4 linked regions of the Saccharomyces cerevisiae S288C genome follow. The protein of the gene in region 1 purifies or fractionates together with the protein of each later gene. This does not show direct contact. Each region holds a gene or a part of one and is shown on either strand. Other genes may lie near its edges. The genes, in order: CPR6, QNS1, URA2 and HSP104.

Region 1 (3,319 bases):
TGTAAATGACTTTCGCTTACTGGGGAATATGGCTTTTCGTTATCTGTTTCGTTTTCCTCGATTATATCGTGAATGTTATCACTAGCTTGTTCCTCTAAAATGTCGTCATCTTGCAACATGTAATTTTCACTAAATTCATCGAAATGACGCTGCGAGTCACCTAATGGAACCAAATTCTTAGTCGTAGTCGTGGTTTCTACGTATTCATACCCATTTATTTTTCTTATTGTCTTTTTGGTAATTGATTGAGTCCTTCCTGAAGGGTCTGTTACTTGTGTAGTCTTTACGGTAATGGAGTTGGCCCTTGAATCGTTATTGTTGCCGGCCGTCGATTTGTTCTTACCGTAGTTTCTTCTGACATTCGCACCAGACGTCATAGAATTCATACGGCTCCCATTAGTAGTATAACCGGGCGGGTGTAAATGGTACTCTCCGCTCCTTTGCGACCTCAACGAGTAAGTCTTCTGTGAATACTGCTTAGCTGCTGCCCTGGACGTTGGCGGAGCGGCAGAGGATGTGGAAAGCCTTCTTCCTGGGCTCTTTACCGAACTTCTTTGTCTCGGTATTGAAGGTGCATGACTAACCAGCGAGTGCGACCTTGAGTAATTGGTTCGATCCGGTGATGCGGCAGAAGCAGCAGAGGCAGCAGCAGCAGAGAGCTGAGGACTTTTGTTATAATCTTCATGGTTCTGATAGTAGTAATCATACCTAGATAAATCAGGTACCCTCCTGTCCCTCTTTGTAAAACCAAATACCATTTTCAACTTTCTTGATCAACAGAATGTCTTTGTTTGTTTATTCTAGTGAAAAAATAGAAGTAAAAAGCAATCAATATAAGCAACGTGAAACGATCGAAGGAAACTAAAAGAGGTTTGATGTTAGAAGAATTGATTAACACCAAATCAAGCAATTTATTGAAGTATGGGTCCCTGATGTTTGTCCTTCTCGTTCTTGCTTTCCCTCCCCTCTTCTCATCCATTCGCTTCATTTATGCTTTTATTTTCTTCTTTTTTTTCTCACAACAAATGTCCGAAACAAAAAAAGGGGCCTCAGCCATTAAAGGTAGTGAAAGGCACTTCTAAGAGTTGCGCCAAACAAGGGAAGATTAAAGGGAAAGAAAAGCTCTGGCAGGCTAAAACTGGCAGACTGGTCATGAGTGAAACTGGCGAAACTTCAGAGTATTATAAGCAGGCGCTGGAAGAATACAAAGAGGTCCAAGAAGACGAAGACCCGGATGTGTGGGACACGAGAATATCCAAGACCGGATGCTACGTAGAGAACCTCGCATTACAGCTGTGCCATGCCGAAACAGGTGACTGGAGGCAGTGCTTCAACGAGATGGCGTTATTTAGGAAGTGTTGGGAAAAGAATGGTAATAGAGAGCGCGTAAGCACAGTGGACGTGGATGGGACGACCAGTAAGGATTCGGAAAAGAAGAAATGAAAATCTAAATGTCGTGATGTATAACTTGTATATAATAGACAGCTGCAGTGATCGAAACACATTGTTTCCCTTTATAGAACATAACTGTTACGCTTTTGAACGGCATTTCTATGAGCTTCTAGAATATTTTTCCGCCCTAGCTGGAGAAAGTTCAGACAGAAAATTATTTAAATAAGTCGAATATCAGAGGTGCTGATGCGCTCACATCACATAGAAAACTGGTAAGACAATATTCAGGCGATCAAGGAGTAAAAATGACTAGACCTAAAACTTTTTTTGATATTTCTATTGGAGGTAAACCCCAAGGCCGTATAGTTTTTGAGTTGTACAATGACATAGTGCCTAAAACGGCTGAAAATTTTTTGAAGTTGTGTGAAGGAAATGCTGGTATGGCAAAGACTAAACCTGATGTACCATTGTCGTACAAGGGTTCCATTTTCCACAGAGTGATCAAAGACTTCATGTGTCAATTTGGTGATTTTACCAATTTTAATGGTACTGGCGGTGAGAGCATATACGATGAAAAATTCGAGGATGAAAATTTCACTGTTAAACATGATAAACCATTCCTTCTATCCATGGCCAACGCCGGTCCAAATACCAATGGATCTCAAGCTTTCATAACCTGTGTTCCTACACCTCATTTGGACGGGAAGCACGTTGTGTTTGGTGAAGTGATTCAAGGTAAAAGAATTGTTCGTTTGATTGAAAACCAACAATGTGACCAAGAAAACAACAAGCCATTGCGTGATGTAAAGATTGATGACTGTGGCGTGTTACCTGACGATTATCAAGTGCCAGAGAATGCCGAAGCTACACCAACAGATGAGTACGGCGATAATTATGAAGATGTTTTAAAACAAGACGAAAAAGTTGACTTGAAGAATTTCGACACCGTCTTGAAAGCTATCGAAACGGTAAAGAACATTGGTACTGAACAGTTCAAGAAACAGAACTATTCCGTGGCTTTAGAAAAATATGTCAAATGTGATAAATTCTTGAAAGAGTATTTCCCAGAAGATTTGGAGAAGGAACAAATTGAAAAAATCAATCAATTGAAAGTGTCTATTCCATTGAATATTGCCATCTGTGCTCTTAAATTAAAAGATTACAAGCAAGTATTAGTAGCCTCATCGGAGGTGTTATATGCCGAAGCGGCTGACGAAAAAGCCAAGGCCAAAGCTTTGTACCGTCGTGGCCTGGCCTATTACCATGTTAATGACACAGATATGGCTCTCAATGACCTAGAAATGGCCACTACTTTCCAGCCAAATGACGCTGCCATTTTGAAAGCTATTCATAATACTAAATTAAAAAGAAAGCAACAAAACGAAAAAGCTAAAAAGTCTCTTTCGAAGATGTTCTCCTGATTACTTGCATTATATATATGCTTATATGTTTAAATACTAAACAGTTGCGCTGCCTCAGTAGTTAAGTAAAAAGTACGTAGAAAACTCTGTTAAAAAAATTATTTTTTCAGGCATAATAAGCGGATATTTTCCGATGTCCATTTATGCAGTGGGAAGATTAAGAAGCTAATGATACCGTAACTCCACCAGTGAAACTAAAACGTGCGTCCAAAAAGCGCTGACATAAATTACTTATTGATGTCCTCACAAGAATATACAACTTTTATAGATATACCAGTGACAAGAGCGCAGGTTGAACACTGTTCTTACTCGTTTTGGTCCTCACTGTATCCCAAATATGTGCCAAAATCCATAGTGTTAAAATCCTTACCGAAAAAATTTATTCAATATTTGGAACAAGACGGTATCAAGCTACCCCAAGAGGAAAACTCCAGGTCTGTGTACACCGAGGAAATAATAAGAAATGAAGATAATGACTATAGTGATTGGGAGGACGATGAGGATAC
Region 2 (4,666 bases), on another chromosome or scaffold:
CAACACGCGTTATCGAGATTGAGGTCAAGCGCCGAAATTGCTATACCAGCTTTATTTGCTCCGCTCAAGTCAGGGAAAGTTGTCAGGATAACAAACCTTAAGACCTTTAGCCCTTTCTGGGACACATGGTTTACCGATCTGTCGCACTCCTTTGTTGGCTTACCTGTTAGTAAATTATTAATATTGGCGGGAAACGAAAATCTCGATAAAGAATTAATTGTGGGGCAAATGCAAGGTAAATATCAGTTGGTAGTTTTCCAAGATTCCGGGCATTTCATTCAAGAAGATTCGCCTATAAAAACAGCAATCACTTTAATTGATTTCTGGAAGCGGAACGATTCTAGGAATGTAGTAATCAAGACTAATTGGGGTCAACACAAAACCGTGCAAAATACATAAGGGTTAAATATCACTTTTATATCTTTATTTATGATAGAATAAATAACAGAATATATGAACTCGTGGAAAAGTCTTATTTTGCTGTGAGCACTTCTTCTGTGCTAATCAATAGACATAATGTCAAGCGTTGAGCCTTTATGTGCTTCACACTGCTCGACAACTTCATCAATTTTTCTTGAAGCCCATGGAAATCTTGGGTTGATTAAGAAAGGACGTAAGTCAAATCTGTTGTCTTCTGGTGAATACTGTTCAGCATGATAACTAGGAGTTAAAACAGTTTGCTTGTGTCTGTTGATGGCATAGAAGAAGAAAAATCTTTTCACCTTTTCAGATATTTGACGAGGTGTTAACTTTGGGGACCATTGATGAAGAAGTTTTAAGAACATAGAATAAGGACCACATTTTTCAACCTTTCTTAGGTAACCAAACACGCCCAATTCTTCATACGTCATCCCCATATCTATCTCATCCGATTGAACGTAATCTTTAGTCATAGGTTCTAATTCTGCAGTTGGTGTAGCGTTTAAAAAGTCATTCAAGATTGGCATGTTATATTGTTTTGATGCGTAGGCAATGAATCTTTTCAAGTCAGTTTTTGAAATACCCCCAATAGGGTTGATATCTGCGGAGGAGCAGTCATATTTTGTTAGATACCCACGTAAGCACTCATCAACATTTGCGCTACCAAGTACTAACAATCCACCCGAGTTTGGGATACCACGAACCCACGGCAACAGTTGCGCAAAAAGATAAGAAAGAACCATTCTTAGACGCGCCTGGATGTTTTGTAAAGCCAAGTTCTCGATTTGAGATCCCCCAAATATTTTGTATATTGGTTTTTTGCCAGTGGCTACTTCGAATAAGGACACCACACTGGATACCAATGAGTCCATCTTTAAATCCACGTGGTAAGATCCAATTGCATTGGAAAGGTCCTTTGCTCTGTTTCTTGTCTCCTTGGATGAATTTTCCGTACCCATGAAACAGGAGTGAAATATTTTTGAGGCTAGATCCTGTGGACTGTCTGGAATCCAATCATCGCCGCTACGTGTTATCTTACGAACGTCTTTGATAACTTGCTCATTTCCATTTTGAGCAGCGTCGGTCACTAAACGGCACATAGAGTGGACAATCATTGCAGTTGCACAAGAGTCAATGCCCCCAGATAAGGGAAGGAAAAACCCTGTTCCGTTACAACGTCTTAAATAATCCCACATCCAGCAAGCAGGTCCCAGTGCAATTTCTTCCTCAGGAGAGTGATAGAAAGGCTCGCGGACTTTTGTTGGACACACTGTAGGATCAAATCTGGAGGTCATTAAAGCCAATTCTACAGGAATATCAATACGCTTGAACTTTATTTCTGCCAAGGAGGCTTGTAGGCCACGAGACATGACAGCTGCACGATAACTCCTCACCTCTTCTAGGTCCACAGTAGCAGTAACTACTTCCACATCATCTAGCGAAAATTGTGAACCTTGGGCTACAATTGTACCATTGATGGCAATTAGTGCACAGCCATCATAATATAATCTGTCACCATCACAACCTCTTTGATTTGCATACAAGTAAACACCACCACAACGTTTAGTGGCATTTAAAATTAGGTCTAACCTTTTATTTAACTTACGCAGTTCATGATGAGAACCAGATGAGTTTGTCATGATTTCCACACCATCTAAAGACATGGCGATGTGGGGGGATTGAGGTGTAAACAATTCTTCACAAGTTTCTGTACCAATGCATGTATCCAATGAATTTATCACAGCGTCCCCAAATGGCACAAGTCTCTGGCCGGTAACTTTCTGAATCTCAGGTGGAAGGATAAAGTCCTCCACCACGCCAGGTTTCATCCAAGGTGTGAAAAATCTCATTTCCCTATAGTTACCATCATTAGCTAACCAAATCTTAGGTCTTATGAACAATATCTCACCATCCAAGGATAACAAACGACAATTATAACGAACATTCTTGTGTAGAACGGGCATACCAATGTCAAGTATTAATCCATGGGTTTCTTTATTCTTAATGATTTGAGCATACATTTCCCATGAATGAAGGCAAACGTCATTTTCTAAAAAATGATCTAAACATCCGTAGCCAGTTATTTCCAGTTCTGGGCCGACACGTAACCTGGCACCCCTCTCTTTGGCAATCTTAATGGACTGTAGGATACGGTCTCTATTACCTTCAAAATCTAGGGCCCATTGATTCAAGTTGCATGTAGCTAAAGTGATAAGATGTGACATTACTGGCAGGGAGTCAAAAAAAGAATGCCAGGGTATTTGGGGGTATTTTTACAAGCAATATCAATTGATGATGTGAGCATATAGTCTATTTTGAGGTAACCAGTTGATAATCTTATATTTCCCTTCCATATTCCTCTTTATCTTTTTCGACGAAACTATTGGGGCCTCTTGATATGACTTAGCAGGACATATAAAGGATAAGATGTTCCAAGCTATGTTATCTTTGACAAGTTTTGATAGCAATAGACTTTCAATTCCAAATTTAGGCACCTTTTGTAAGATCCTGTGTTCGTAAACTTTTCTTCAAAAAACATGGATCTAACTGACTGAAAGAGTTCATTATCTTTCAATTATGTGATGAAATTCTATTGTTTTTTTCAAGTTTTGCAACTAATCATAAAATAGAATGTTTTTACAGTCAAGCAAACAAAAATAGTGTAGAACTGTTAATATAAAATTAGTGTGAAAGATTGATCAAGAATTTATAAAGTCCTTCATGTTGTATATAGTATACTATACATGAACGCATATACAAGTAATTTGTGTGGATGATCATTAAAGATGGAAAATAAATAGAGTACAAAGGGGGGAAAAAAGTTCACTTGATGTCATCAAGGCATTCACCAGAGTTGAGAAATATCAGACCAATCATGCTTCTTTCTTCTTTCCCAATAACTCTTCGGTCCAGTTATGTATTTCCATTCATTCTTAGATACTTTTTCGAAATATTTAGGCTCCACATCTTGCCCTTTATTACGTCTTTCACGTTGAAGTTGTTCCAATTTCAGCTTCCACTCTTCCGCCTTATCAACATTTCCCTCCTCGTAAGCTCTAATATCTGGTCTTAATCTTGAGTCCGTAGGTGGTAAATTGCCCTTTTCAATTTCAGTTATCTCATTCAAATTTGCGGTGAATTTAGTAAAGCCATATTTCTTCTTCGGATTGCTAACTAAATCACCTACTTCCCATATAGTTTCATGTGTAGTTTCATTAGCTAAACTCTGTGTCCATTTACCAGCTAGAGTTTCCTTCTTGCGATTGCTCGAAGGTGGTGGGATTATCGAAACCTTAAATCCTTCAGATCTTCCACTAAACATACCTGCCTTATCGAACAGGATGTGTGATTTGTCTCCCTTCGAAGAATGTACTTCGAATTCGTTGACAGGCTCCATATATCTCTCACCCGCTATCAAATTTTTTAAAATAGTTGTTGGTTGCGTCCATTCAAATAGTTCTCCAGTTGTCTTAAACTTCAATCTCAGTATACCTTCGTTATTCAATTCAATAGACTTACCCCAAAACTTTTGCGATGGCGTTACAGTGTAACTACACTCCCAGTCGAGATGCTCTGCAAAGAAGGCAAATACTGGAGGACGATGTGAGACCTTTTCCGATATAAGCCTAAACCCCATATCTTCTCGTATAAGTTCAAATGTTTCAGCCAGTAAAGGATTAAAAGGCTTTCTTAGCGTTCTTGTTTTATCCCTATATATGGAAAGAAAGGAAATAGCAAATGCAGAAACAAAGGTTATAGGATCAGGACGTTGGGTAGCCTTCGTTAAAAGTGGAGCATACTCAAATGTTTCTGATATCAACTGCAAAATAGAAATAGGCTCATTTGAGGTTACTGGCATGGCAATAGAGCTCAGATCTTTGCCTACATTCTTTCTCAAAAAAGATAATAGGCTTGGCGGAGAAGCTGCAGCTTCAGGTATGTCATTACGGCGTGTAACACTCTTTGGATAGGAAAGAGCAAACAAATCCTTACTTGTAAATGTTTCTGTTGAGGATTGGGCGCTTTTGGTTTTTTGATGATGAGGGTGGCCACGGCGACGATTTTTGTGACGATTTTTGAGGTGTTTACGGCTATGATTTTCATCGTTAGTTGTATAGCTCTCCACACTTGATGAAGCTATCTGTTCGGATCCCGACAATTGGACCTCTTTTGTGAACTCATTTTGGTCACTTTTACCAAGAAGGGGAGTTTCCTCGACTATATTATTAATATCATCTTCTGTGTC
Region 3 (7,748 bases), on another chromosome or scaffold:
TTCTTCTGAATGACGCATGACAATGGCATCACTGTAACAAGCCAAAGTTCTGATAGTATCTTGAAGGGTTTCACCTTTCTTGACAGAAGACACCAATGGATTAACATTTACAATTCTACCACCCAAACGTTCCATAGCAGCAATGAATGAAGAACAAGTACGAGTAGATGGTTCAAAGAAAATTGTAGTAATAACGTGGCCTTTCATTAAATCTAAGACACCTTCTCTTGCGACAGCTGCCCTTAGTTCTTGTGCAACAGCAAACAACACATGGAAATCAGAACGTTTGAATTGTTTGATAGACAATATATGTCTTCCGCGGAATGGATTGTTACTACGGATCAAATTCTGGATGGCGCCTGGAGCAACAAGTTCTCTTGGTGGCCTTGAAGACATCAATTTTTGTTCCAAAGGCTGTTCTGGAATTGCATCCTCCGCGGCATCTAAATTATCAGCGATTGCTTCTTCCGTGATCGAGAACCTTCTTTTAGCACTAGTAGATTGGAGCTCTGCGGAAGCAGTTATGGAAGCTGGACTTGGATTAACAATGCATTTTCCTTTGGCGCCTGGTGAAACTAATTCACCGCTCAAAACTAATGTTTCGCCATTATAGACAACACGCTCAATACCACCGTTCATATCTTTGTTGAATGGTGACCATCTCTTATTACGTCTGAAAGAATAATCCAAATCAATTTCGACAACTGAGTCCTGAGTAGGGATGTTGAAAATTTTAGCGGGATTGTCATGCAGACGAAGGACGATATCATCAATGGTTAATTTACCTTCTTCAACAGCAGCCAACAATAGTGGTAATGAATCTTTGATACCCATACCAACATCAACCTTGTTACCTGTGACATTTGCCAAGGCGACAGGAAGAGCACCGACAGAGAAAGCATCGATACTATCAAGGTTGTTCCAGAAAAACTCTTGATCTTCCTTAGTAGGCAAGAAAACTGCCTCCGGATAGTCATCTTGGGCAATAAACAAAGAATAAATATTGACATCACAAGTCACTCTAGGGTCTTTTGCCTTGACCGTCATGATCAAAGCTAAATCTTCCTTATTCGAAACACCAGTAATGTGAATAGATCTGTTTTGAAGGGAGGTTAACAATAAAACCGATGCCAAATCTGCAGTTTTAGCTTCTGCAATCACTTGCTTTTCAGTTGGCCACTGATTCAGAAGTTCAGCTACTGCTGTGATCTTGTTCTTTAATTCACGTAGGGGCAAAAACAATGCTGTCACTTTGCTAGCAGATTGCGTAACACTATGAGCATTGTGTGCTGTACCAGCAATAGTGAAAGAAAAGTCAGTGTAAGATGAATCTTGGGAAACAGAGTTTGCGGCCTTCAAGGATGCAACGTCAGTAATAACAGGTCCGCTGATGGATCTGGGCATCAATTGACAGTATGTAAAACCGGATTCCAAAAATAGACGTGTGGTCTCCTTCAGTTCAGCTGGGCCTTTGATAACATGGGATGCATTCGGAACATAAGTTGCGATATTGATTAAACCAGGTAAGGTAATAGTTCTGTGGGAAGTTTGTGCATCACGTTCAGAAACATCTAAAGTGATATTTCTTGAAATGGCTTCAATCAACAATTTTGCACATTTAACGTTAGTAACCAACGGAACCGAATAATCGACAGCCAAACGACGTGTTTTATACCCCTTTGAAACATAGGATGCAGGACGACGGAACCTGTTGGCAGAAGGCAAGTTGATGTAAAGGTCAATTTCATTATTAGCCAAATGTTGAGTAAGTGAGTATTCTGATTTTTGATCATCATCATCCTTGTTTAAAACCTCCAGATATTGGACGGCAATACCATGTTCAGATAAAAAGTCAGCAGTACCTGATGTTGCAAATAATTTATATCCCATGTTGTATAGTTTTTGTACGGAAGAAAGCAATTCTTGTTTTTCCTTGTAAGAACCAATAGACAATAAAATATTCTTCTTTGGAAGTTTGAAGCCGGTTGCCAACAAAGACTTTAAGTATGCTTCATACTTCGAGTGGCCAAAAGTAGCGACTTCACCAGTAGAGGCCATTTCAACACCTAAGACTGGATCAGCTCCTGCTAAACGTGGGAAAGAGAATTGTGGTACTTTAACGGCGACATAATCATCTGGTAATTTTTCAACAGGATAAGGCGTCAAAGGCAAACCCATTATGGCCTTTGTTGCCAATTCAATCAGATTGACGCCAACAACCTTTGAAATGAATGGGAAAGATCTCGAAGCACGAACATTACATTCTATGACCTTGATTTCATTGTCCTTTGCAATGAATTGGATGTTGTATGGACCTGTAATTTTCAAAGCCTTACCAATTTTAGCAGTGGCGACAACAATTCTATCCACAGTTTCAGGAGCCAAATCTTGAGGTGGAACGATTAATGTTGCATCACCCGAGTGGACACCTGCATTTTCAACATGCTCAGAGACAACATGCATAACCAATTCACCATTTCTTGCAACTGCATCCATTTCAATCTCCTTTGCGTTTTCAATATATTTAGTGATAACAACAGGATAATCACGTGAAACTTCGACGGCTTGGTTTAAGTAGGATTCCAAATCGTTTTTAGAATAAACAGTATTCATGGCGGCACCGGATAACACATAAGATGGACGTACCAAAACTGGATAACCCACCTTTTCGGCAAAAGATTCAGCTTCGTCCATGGATGTCAATTCTTTCCAAGCTGGTTGGTCAACACCAATTTGATCCAACATACGAGAGAACTTGTAACGGTTTTCAGCAGAATCAATCATGTCAGGGGATGTACCAAGAATCTTTACATTTTCACGATGTAAAGTCATGGCGATGTTGTTGGAAGTTTGACCACCCATTGATACGACAACACCGCTTGAGTTTTCAATCTCGTAAATATCCAAAACTCTTTCAAGGTTGATGGTTTCAAAGTATAGTCTATCAGCCTCATCATAATCTGTGGAAACAGTTTCTGGATTATAGTTGACCATGATAGTTTTGATATTGTTGGCACGTAATGTTCTAACTGCAGTAACAGCACACCAATCAAATTCGACAGAAGAACCGATACGGTAAACACCAGAACCCAAGACCATAACACCGTGGTCATCAAAGGATAAATCGTGTGAGTCAGCATTGTATGTCATGTATAAATAGTTCGTGTAAGCGGGGAATTCAGCGGCAACTGTATCAATTTGTTTGACAAATGGTGTAATTCCATATTCTTTTCTTAATCTACGGATGGCAACTTCGTTGGAATCCAAAAATCTTGCAATCTGTCTGTCATCAAAACCTAACTGCTTAGCCTGTCTTAAAACTAAGGAAGGTAATTCCTCTTTAGTACCAAATGAACTAATTTTCTCAGCAAATTGGACCAAATCGTGCAGTTTGTTTAAAAACCACTTATCAATTCTAGTCATTTCCCAGACTTTATCAACAGAATATCCCTTCTTAGCAAAAGCATTTGCAATGGCGAAGACACGCATATCCGTAGGGTTGTTCAACTCGTAATCAATGTCGATATCTAGATCTGTCTCATTGAATCCGAGGTTAGCATATTCTGTGGATCTGATAGCTTTTTGAATAGCTTCTTCGAAGGTTCTACCGATGCTCATAACTTCACCAACAGATTTCATTGATGAAGATAATTCGGTAGAAACTCTGGTGAACTTCTTCAAATCCCATCTTGGCATTTTGACAACACAGTAGTCTAGAGAAGGTTCAAAACAAGCACATGTGGATTTTGTGACGGAATTCTTAACTTCATTTAATGGGATATTCAAACCTAACTTAGCCGCAGTGTAGGCCAATGGGTAACCAGTAGCCTTAGAAGCTAAAGCAGAGGAACGTGACAAACGCGCATTAACTTCAATGATGCAATAATCCTTAGAAACGGGATTTAAAGCATATTGGATATTACATTCACCAACAACACCTAAGTGTCTAATAACATTAACAGCAGTAGTTCTTAACATATTGTAATCTTCATCAGATAAAGTTTGAGATGGGGCTACAACGATGGAATCACCGGTGTGAATACCTAGTGGATCAAAATTTTCCATATTACAAACAGTAATACAGTTGTCAAAAGCATCACGAACAACTTCATATTCGACTTCTTTCCAACCTTTCATAGATTTCTCGACTAAAACTTGAGGTGAGGATGAAAATGCAACATTACATAGATCAACCAATTCTTTTTCATTATTAGCGAAACCGGAACCTAAACCTCCCAATGCATATGCAGCACGTACAATAACTGGGAAACCGATCTCCTTGACAGCGGCCAATGCCTCGTCCACTGAATTAGCAGCTTGAGATTTCGCACATTTTTCATTAATTTCGTCAATGGCATTACTGAAGAGTTCACGGTCTTCCGTGGTAATAATAGTATCGATTGGAGTACCCAATACTTTAACTCCTAACGCCTCAAATTCATCTTTCATGGCTATACCAACAGATAAAGCAGTTTGTCCACCAAATGTCACATAAATGGCGTCCGGCCTTTCATGTAAAATAACTTTTCTCACGAACTCTGCAGTAACAGGAACAAAATAAACCTTATCAGCCAACCCTTTCGAAGTTTGGATGGTAGCAATGTTTGGATTAATTAAAATTGTATAGATACCTTCTTCTTTCAAAGCTTTGATGGCTTGAGAACCAGAGTAGTCAAATTCACCAGCTTGACCGATGGACAAACCACCAGAACCGAGAACTAGAACCTTCTTCGCTTCGATTCTAGGGTGTGCCTTAACGTTATCCTCTAATAGGCCACCTGGGAAAGCGATTGGTTTCAACACTTGTGTATACTTGAATTCTTTAACTGCTTGGATAAAAACGTCAAACAAGAATTCTGTATCTCTTGGGCCAGGTGTGGATTCTGGATGGAATTGGACGGAAAAATAAGGTAATTCAGAATGATAGATACCTTCGTTAGAGTCATCATTCGCGTTAACAAACAATGGCTTCCATCCGGAAGTTAGAGTGTCAACATCCACAGCGAACCCATGGTTTTGAGATGTTATGTAACAACGACCACTTATAGTTGATGTACAAGGTATGTTATGACCACGGTTACCAAATTTTAGTTTTAGGGTGGATGCACCGGCAGCTCTTGCTATCAATTGATGACCGAGACAAATACCGAATACTGGCGTCTTTTTAGCCTCCAGGACATTTGACAATCTTTGAGATAGATCATCTAGAACAGATGGATCACCTGGACCATTTGAAATAAACAGACCATCATAATCTTCTTTAGTGAAATCGTAGTTCCATGGAACAACTTTCAATTCTACACCCCTTTTGATAAAACAACGAATTTGATTGTATTTCATACCCACGTCAATGGCTAGAATCCTTAAAACTTTACCATCGGGTCCGGTTTGCAATTCGATGTGCTTATTGTCTGCTGGAGGAACGTACAATTTAGGTTCATTGATGGAGACCTTAGAAACTAGGTTTTGAACATTTGGATCCACCCATTCAGGAACATCAAACGCACTTCTCCAAGAGGAAGATCTGGAGATGGTTCTGTCAGAGCCGCTTTTTTCCAAAGACAACCTACCCAACATTGAACCTGCATCTCTCAAATGCTTGGTCAATGATCTTGTATCAACACCATAAACAGCTGGGATCCCTTCATTTTGTAACCATTTACCTAAGGAAGATTTAGCAAGATAATGAGAGTACTCGTCGGTATAGTGAGAAATAACTAAACCGGCAATATGGATTCTATTACTTTCAAAATATCTTGGCAATTCTTCGACCAATTCATCTCTCAAGTGCATATCTGGGACACCATAATTGCCTACCAATGGGTAAGTGATGACTAAGATCTGGCCTTCATAAGATGGATCGGTCACAGATTCAGGATAACCAACCATACCAGTTTGGAAAACTAATTCACCAGCGACGGATTTCTCAGCACCAAATGAATAACCTTGTAAGACCGTGCCGTCCTTAAGTTCCAACGTAACCAGACGGTCACCCGTAGATTCCATTGGAGGGGTGATTGGAGCAGTGGGAGCAATAGTGGCCATATTATGATTGTTATATTCTATTAGGTAAGGTTTATGTGTTGTATGCTGCAATTAGTTATGGATTTCTATCGTCGTTAATATTAATGTTAGTAATTGTTGATCGTTCAAGCCAGATGCCGATATAAAATCAGAACTAATTGAAGAGATTGATTTGCTTTCGTGCCATGAAGATCTCTATCAATTGCGATTCTTTTCTTTTTTTTTTCTTTCTTTTTTTTCTTTCCTATTCCAGGTAATGAAAAACGACATCATCGCAGAGTCAAACGGCTTCTATTTTCCACGCCCAGATACTAAAATACGCGCCCACTGATATTGCGACTGGCATCGCATGGTCTGAATAGATGGCAACATTAAGGCTTCTCAAAAGTAATCATAAAAAACATACTCAAATTTGAATGCTAACGGATTATAATGTTTCCTTTTTCTTTCAATTCAAAGTTGAACGTGGTGAGTCTTTAACAAAAGAGTAGAAGTATTTATAAGTTTTTTTGGCTAGATATAGCGGTATTCCTCAATTCTTTCTCAAGTGCTTCCGTAGAGAAAATGTTCAGGAAACCTTTTGTTTGTGGTTGTTGTCGACAGGTTTTTTATTTTCTACAATCAAGAATAAGATAAAAATACAAGACCATTAGGAAAGACGATAATTTGAAAGAAAATTGGTGTAGTTAAAACATACTAGATATGATATTATACTAATTGAGCAAAATAGAGAAGGAAAGAGAGGATTCTCTCTCTGAGTAAAATCGATGAGTGGGGATTTTGTCAAAGTATTTATACTTTTTGTCCATACCATTTGTCCTACTTTTTTACCGTTTTTTTTTTTTTCAAGGCCAGGGAAAAAAGAGTCATTGCGTTTGTGTGACATTTCTTTTAATATTCATCGGAGAACACCGGCGGGCCACAGAGAAAAAAAAAAAGTCCATATTCCATGTACACTGCAAATAACCAAGATTTTTCATTTTTCACGAAAAGAGGGACAATGTACTAATGGCGTTGACGATGACGAAAGCACCATTTTGGACATTGTATGTCGTACATTATCGTAGAGAGATTCGGTTGTCTTTAAGGGACCGAAAAAAAGAAAGAAATCTTAGGACATCAGAAATGTACGTAGGCAAATGTATATCACAATGTTACTAATCAAGGTTAAAAAAAAAAAATCCTTTTAATGCTTAATTACCTTCTTAAATATTGAGTACGAAAACCTATTTCTAAAGAATGAGTATATATGTTAGAGCGTTGTGCTGCTCCTTTTAGGATTTCGGGAATGTGTGGTCTTACGCTTAAGAGCTCCCCAACGATGTTTCACATCAGTGAAACTTCTCTTGAAATGTTCCGTCATTGGGTCTTCTGTATTGGTTCTAGCCTGTCTCTTCAATTTCATGCCCTCAAGGTGGTCAATATGTTCAAGTCTATCACTAGGCAAGATAATTGCACGATCCAGTGAGTATGGTAGACCTCTATTCTTGCCTCTGATCAGCATAGCTATGATCACCAACTTAGATAATGTAGTAAACTGTCTTGAAAACGATTGGTTGGTGTCCGGATAACCTAGCGATAGCCCAACTGTACCGTAAGCGCTAACAATTTCAAAAAGAATTGCAAATATATTAAAGTTTGGTTCTTGTACGTCCTTTATCTTGTCCCCTTCACAAATGCAAATGATAAATAACCCTAAAAATAGAAACCACAAGTCAAATGAA
Region 4 (5,225 bases), 480 kb from region 1:
AGTGATTATTAATATTACATGAACTGCTATGGTAAAAATTTAAACGTGCAGTTCAGATAGTACTGAAGTCTAAGTTAAAGATATACTAATTTTAACATGATTTGGTAGTCATATATATGAGTCATATGAGTCGCTACATTCAAATGTACAGTAACTATCAAAACCATTATTGTAGTACCCGTATTCTAATAATGGACCAATCCGCGTGTGTTTTATACTTCTAATATGAAAGTAAAGAGGTCCAGATTTAACCTTCACTTATTACTTCCTTTAAACTTTAGTTATCAACGCCATATGTCCCAAATACAATAAAAAAAGATTTGACGTCCAGTGGACTTTTTTGTCCATTGTTTACTTTTAGATTATTCACAGCAAGATGAACTAAACGTTAAAATGTGAGCTCTTTTGCTCGGGTGTCAAGTTCAATTAAACAAATTCCATTAGTTTTATTAATTATATATATTATATTACTGATTCTTGTTCGAAAGTTTTTAAAAATCACACTATATTAAATTAATCTAGGTCATCATCAATTTCCATACTGTCCTCATTATCGTCATCACCTAACGTGTCAGCCCCTATAGTAGCTTCGTGATTTGGTAGAACTTCCAGACATTCTTCAGCTTCCTCAGGAACATTTTCATCACGAGATTTACCCTTCTTCAAGACGACATTGACAGTTTCCTTATCCTTGATTTCATTCTTTAAGATCCTTAGTGCCAGTTTGTTCAAAATTTCGTTTTGAATTAACCTGTTCAGTGGACGTGCACCCATATCATCGGAATAACCATATTTGGCCAAGAAGTCCTTGGCCTCTTGAGTTAAATTCAACTTGTAATGTTTATCATTTTGCTCGAATCTCTCTTCAATTTCCTTCAAACGAATATCCACGATCTTATGAATAGCTTTTCTAGATAGCTTGTTGAAAATGACTATACTAGAAATTCTGTTCAAAAATTCTGGTCTGAAATGTTGCCTAACAGCACCCATGACCAAATTCTTGGTAGATTCTTGGATCTTTGATCCTTGTTGAGAATTGATAAATTCAGCACCTAGATTGGAAGTCATGATGACAATACAATTGGAACAGTCGATCGTCTTACCTTGACCAGAAGTAATTCTACCGTCATCCAACATTTGTAGCATGACAGTCAAAACATCAGGATGTGCCTTTTCTACTTCATCGAATAACAAAACGGAGTATGGTTTGTATTGCAGTTGGTTAGTTAAAAAGCCACCTTCATCGTACCCGACATAACCTGCCGTGGTACCCAACAACTTAGAGACCGCATACTTCTCGCTTAATTCAGAACAATCGACCCTGATCATCATGTCCTCATCATTAAACAAAAATCCAGCAACTTTTTTAGCCAATTCAGTTTTACCGGAACCGGACAAACCTAAAAATAAGAAGGATGCTGGTTGCCTTGGATTAGCTAAACCTGATCTAGACAATCTAACGGCATTGGAAACAGCTTTAATGGCATCCATTTGGCCCACGACTTCAGATGATAAGTCACGTTCCATATGAATCAATTTTTCATTTTCAGATTCTGACAACTTCTTAACAGGGATACCAGTCAATCTTGCAGCTGTTTCAGAAATGGTGTCTGAATCGACCACATTTTGGATCATGGAGTTGGCACCAGCACGTCTCTCTTCCTCAGCAACCTGATCTTCAAGCTTTTCGATTTGCTTTTTGATATCTGGGATGGCGAAGTACCTTAAATCAGCGGCGGTAGCAGTATCATATCTACGTTCAGCATCAAGGGCCTTGTTTTCCAGTTCATCCAATTTCTTTTTAGCTTGTGTCAATTCTTCATGGCCATGCTTTTCTTCATTGTAACGTTGTCTTAGAGGTTCCAATTCTTCTTGCAATGAAGCTTCCTTCTGCCTAGCTAACTTTAATCTATCTTTAGTGGTGGAGTCGGCATCTTCATCTCTCTCTAGAGCTTTTATCTCTACTTGAATCAATTGCAATTGACGTTCCTTGGAATCCAATTCTTCTGGCTTAGAATCTCTTGCGACGGCGACACCAGCACAAGAAATATCAACTAAATCCAAAGCAGAATCTGGCAATCTTCTATATGGCAAGTAACGCTTGGCTAATTGAGCAGCAGTGACTAAGGCGCTATCCAGAATCCTTACACCATGATGTATTTCATACTTTGGTTGCAGACCTCTCAATATGGCCACTGTTTGTCTCACACTTGGTTCAGCGACTTCAATTTTCTGGAATCTTCTTTCAAAGGCACCATCCTTTTCCACAATAGATCTATATTCGTTATTGGTGGTGGCACCGATGACCTTCAATTGGCCTCTGGACAAAGCTGGCTTCAAGATGTTAGCAGCGTCGTCCTTACCATTACCCATTAACATGTGAATTTCATCAATGAATAACACAATTAGAGTCTTTGATTCTTCGATTTCCTTCAAAACACCTTTGAATCTTTCTTCGAAATCACCTTTGTATTTAGCACCTGCGGTTAATGCGGCCAAATCTAGACTGAACAATTTAGCGCCTTGTAAGATAGTGGGAACGTCATCGTCAATGATTCTTTGAGCAACACCTTCAATAATAGCGGTCTTACCGATACCTGGCTCACCAATTAAACATGGGTTGGACTTAATTCTTCTTGCTAAAACTCTAATAGTGCTTCTTATTTCTTCTTCACGGCCGATGACAGGGTCAAGTTTACCTTGACGAGCCTGCTCAGTCATATCAATGGCGTACTTTGATAAATATTCCAAAGGTGTGTTCGTATCAGCGCCACGAGAGTCAATTCTAGTGTTACCACGAAGTTCAAGAGCTTGTTGCTTGATGGCCTCAATATCTACTTGAGCTTCCTTAAATATTTGCTGAATAGACGAATCATTGAATAGAGCAAACAATATATGGTCTTGCGCTATAAATGAGTCCTTCTGTTGTTTTTGAATCTTAGCAGCGTCTTGAAGGACTTTCCCCAAAGCATAACTTGGAGTTATCTCCGCAGGTGCAGGTTGCTGTTGAGGAATTCTTACTAGATTTCTATTAACCACTTTCTTGAAAAGATCATAGTCGTAACGGCCCTTCTCAATTAGATTCTGTAGGTAAGGGACTGATCCATCTTCTGGCGTTTCAATGAAGGCAGCTAGAATATGTATAGGTTGTAATTGTGGATGTTGATGATCCGAAGCCAATTTTTGAGCCAACGTCAAAATCGTTAGAGCCCTTTCTGTAAATTGCGTTTGGTCGTTCATATATTCTGTATATTTTATGGTACGTGTAGTTGATTTCTTTTTTCTTTGTTATTGCTGATTCGATTCAAGGGTAAAAAGGAACAAGTGACAAAGGAACGAATTATGAAGGAATTGAGGCAAGATTACAATGCCTTATATAATAATCTGGCAGGTTGCATAAGTTTGCGCCCCTTTGCCTTTTACTGTGATATAATTTGCAGTTCTTTGAGATGGGCCCCCTGTTGAAAATTGAACAAAAAAATCGCGGCCCCTTATGGAACGTTTAAGATTGTAATTAATAACCCTTCTAGAAAATTCTGGAAAAATATATATCTACAAGAACAACGAAAGAAAAGTTAGGAACAGCAAACACTACCACGATGGAGGGTTCAATGTTAATATGTATGATAAATATGTAAATAAATAAGTAAATGAATAAATAAGTGAATAGGTAGATTCTTTTTTTCTAAAAATGGTGCAGAAGGTTTTTAAACCATGAAACTCTCGCCACAACCGCATGTGCCCTTGGAGTTTGGATTCTTGAAGACAAACTTAGAGGCCAACTTGTCGTCGATCCAGTCCATTTCACTTCCAATGATGCTGAATAACGCCTTTGAATCGATGACAATTTTAACGCCATCTTGTTCTACTACCTCATCGAATTTCCCCGGCTCGGTGATATATTGTAGATCGTACGTTAGTCCTGAACATCCACGGTTTCTAGCGCTAACTCTAATCAATTTAGGTTCCGGCTGAGCTAGCAGTGCCCTTAAATGCTTGATTGCCTTCGGACTCAGGGTGATCAGCGCCTTTCTTGGTCTCAATTTCCTCTTTCTTTTCTTGGGAGGTTCTGTGCAAGAGCAGTCATTCTTGGATACTGCAGCAGCTATTTGCTCGTCTATAGCTTTATTCTGCTTCTTGATGGCCTCCTCATGAGATTTGATGGTCTCACGCGAAGGGAATGCGTAGCTCGACCACTTCGGGCTTTTAGAAGCCTTGCTACTCTTGCTCTGATTGGAAACTATGAATTTGAAGGGCTTCTTACCTGGACGTTGACTATCTGGAGAGACAGAGTCTGCAGCTGCGGGCACTGTCTTCGGTATGAATTTTAATTTGAAAGGATTTACGTTGTTGATTGTGCGAGACATTGTGCCATTCGTACCGCCTCGCCAAAATCCTCCAGTTGAAAGGAATCTGTGTGCCAGCAGTACTGAATTCCTGCTTCTTCCTGTGTTTATCATTATGTTACGTTATTGTTCCGATCGTTTGTTATACTACCAAATCAAAAAAATCTAAAATGGTCTTTCGTACGAGTGCAAAAATGGTGGCCAAATGTATAAATAAATAAATAAGACGAGTAAAATAATGTCAATAAATAACAGTTTCTTAGTAATTCTAAAGGATTTACAAATATTTGCAAAATTCCATTACTCTTCCTTGCTTTCCTGTCCTCTTTCCCTTTCCTTTATGAATTAAAAGCATCTCAATCTCTTTCCTTTATTCCGTTGAAATTCCCTGTCAATTTTAATCCAAAATAAAGAAGTCATTAAACGGGCATTTACCGGGTGACTGTTATCTGACCAATGAAATCTGAGGGTATGACTAATAAGCCCCCGCCCGAGTTTCGGCCAAGGGTACGGACAACGCCGAGAACCGGCGATGAGAAGAACAATAGCTTTTATCTATTTCTTATTAGAGAGGGATTATTAATCATTAATTAGTGTTTTATTTAGTAACTATGGGCTATACATAACAACCACATAAGAGGAGTCTTGGAGGAAAAAAATGGGAAAAAAAAAAATAGTAGAAAAAAAAGGGGATATCACTACTCTCTAAGTACTCTTGTGCTTGTGCATAGAAAAAGATTTCCTTTGTTCTGTAGTTGTGTGTCTTTTTTGATTGTTTTTTTTTTTTTTTTTAATTTTTTTTTGTAATTTCTTTATATGTCAGCTTTACGCTGCACAGTGTCTATAATGCTATGTCGTTATCGAGCCCTTTGAGCGTGG

The links.
Region 2: the proteins of CPR6 (region 1) and QNS1 purify together in Saccharomyces cerevisiae (affinity purification with mass spectrometry, with the first as the bait; 2 studies listed by BioGRID). This does not show direct contact.
Region 3: the proteins of CPR6 (region 1) and URA2 purify together in Saccharomyces cerevisiae (affinity purification with mass spectrometry; 5 studies listed by BioGRID, with this or other methods). This does not show direct contact.
Region 4: the proteins of CPR6 (region 1) and HSP104 purify together in Saccharomyces cerevisiae (affinity purification with mass spectrometry; 3 studies listed by BioGRID). This does not show direct contact.

What each region holds. Positions count from the first base shown.
Region 1 is NC_001144.5:571,590-574,908, reverse strand, and holds CPR6 (peptidylprolyl isomerase CPR6), read left to right. Parts: upstream 1-1,697; coding exon 1,698-2,813; downstream 2,814-3,319. Other genes in the region: MSC3 (Msc3p), read right to left, coding at 1-758; COA4 (Coa4p), read left to right, coding at 991-1,443; cell proliferation protein CDC123, read left to right, coding at 3,051-3,319. UniProt on the Saccharomyces cerevisiae protein: PPIases accelerate the folding of proteins. It catalyzes the cis-trans isomerization of proline imidic peptide bonds in oligopeptides.
Region 2 is NC_001140.6:244,172-248,837, reverse strand, and holds QNS1 (glutamine-dependent NAD(+) synthetase), read right to left. Parts: upstream 2,646-4,666; coding exon 501-2,645; downstream 1-500. Other genes in the region: PPE1 (phosphoprotein phosphatase methylesterase 1), read left to right, coding at 1-399; oxysterol-binding protein related protein OSH3, read right to left, coding at 3,266-4,666.
Region 3 is NC_001142.9:166,323-174,070, forward strand, and holds the start of URA2 (bifunctional carbamoylphosphate synthetase/aspartate transcarbamylase), read right to left. Parts: upstream 6,046-7,748; coding exon 1-6,045. Other genes in the region: TRK1 (Trk1p), read right to left, coding at 7,277-7,748. UniProt on the Saccharomyces cerevisiae protein: Multifunctional protein that encodes the first 2 enzymatic activities of the de novo pyrimidine pathway: carbamoylphosphate synthetase (CPSase; EC 6.3.5.5) and aspartate transcarbamylase (ATCase; EC 2.1.3.2).
Region 4 is NC_001144.5:86,638-91,862, reverse strand, and holds HSP104 (chaperone ATPase HSP104), read right to left. Parts: upstream 3,241-5,225; coding exon 514-3,240; downstream 1-513. Other genes in the region: Fe-binding Fe/S cluster assembly protein ISA1, read right to left, coding at 3,708-4,460. UniProt on the Saccharomyces cerevisiae protein: Required, in concert with Hsp40 (YDJ1) and Hsp70 (SSA1) and small Hsps (HSP26), for the dissociation, resolubilization and refolding of aggregates of damaged proteins after heat or other environmental stresses.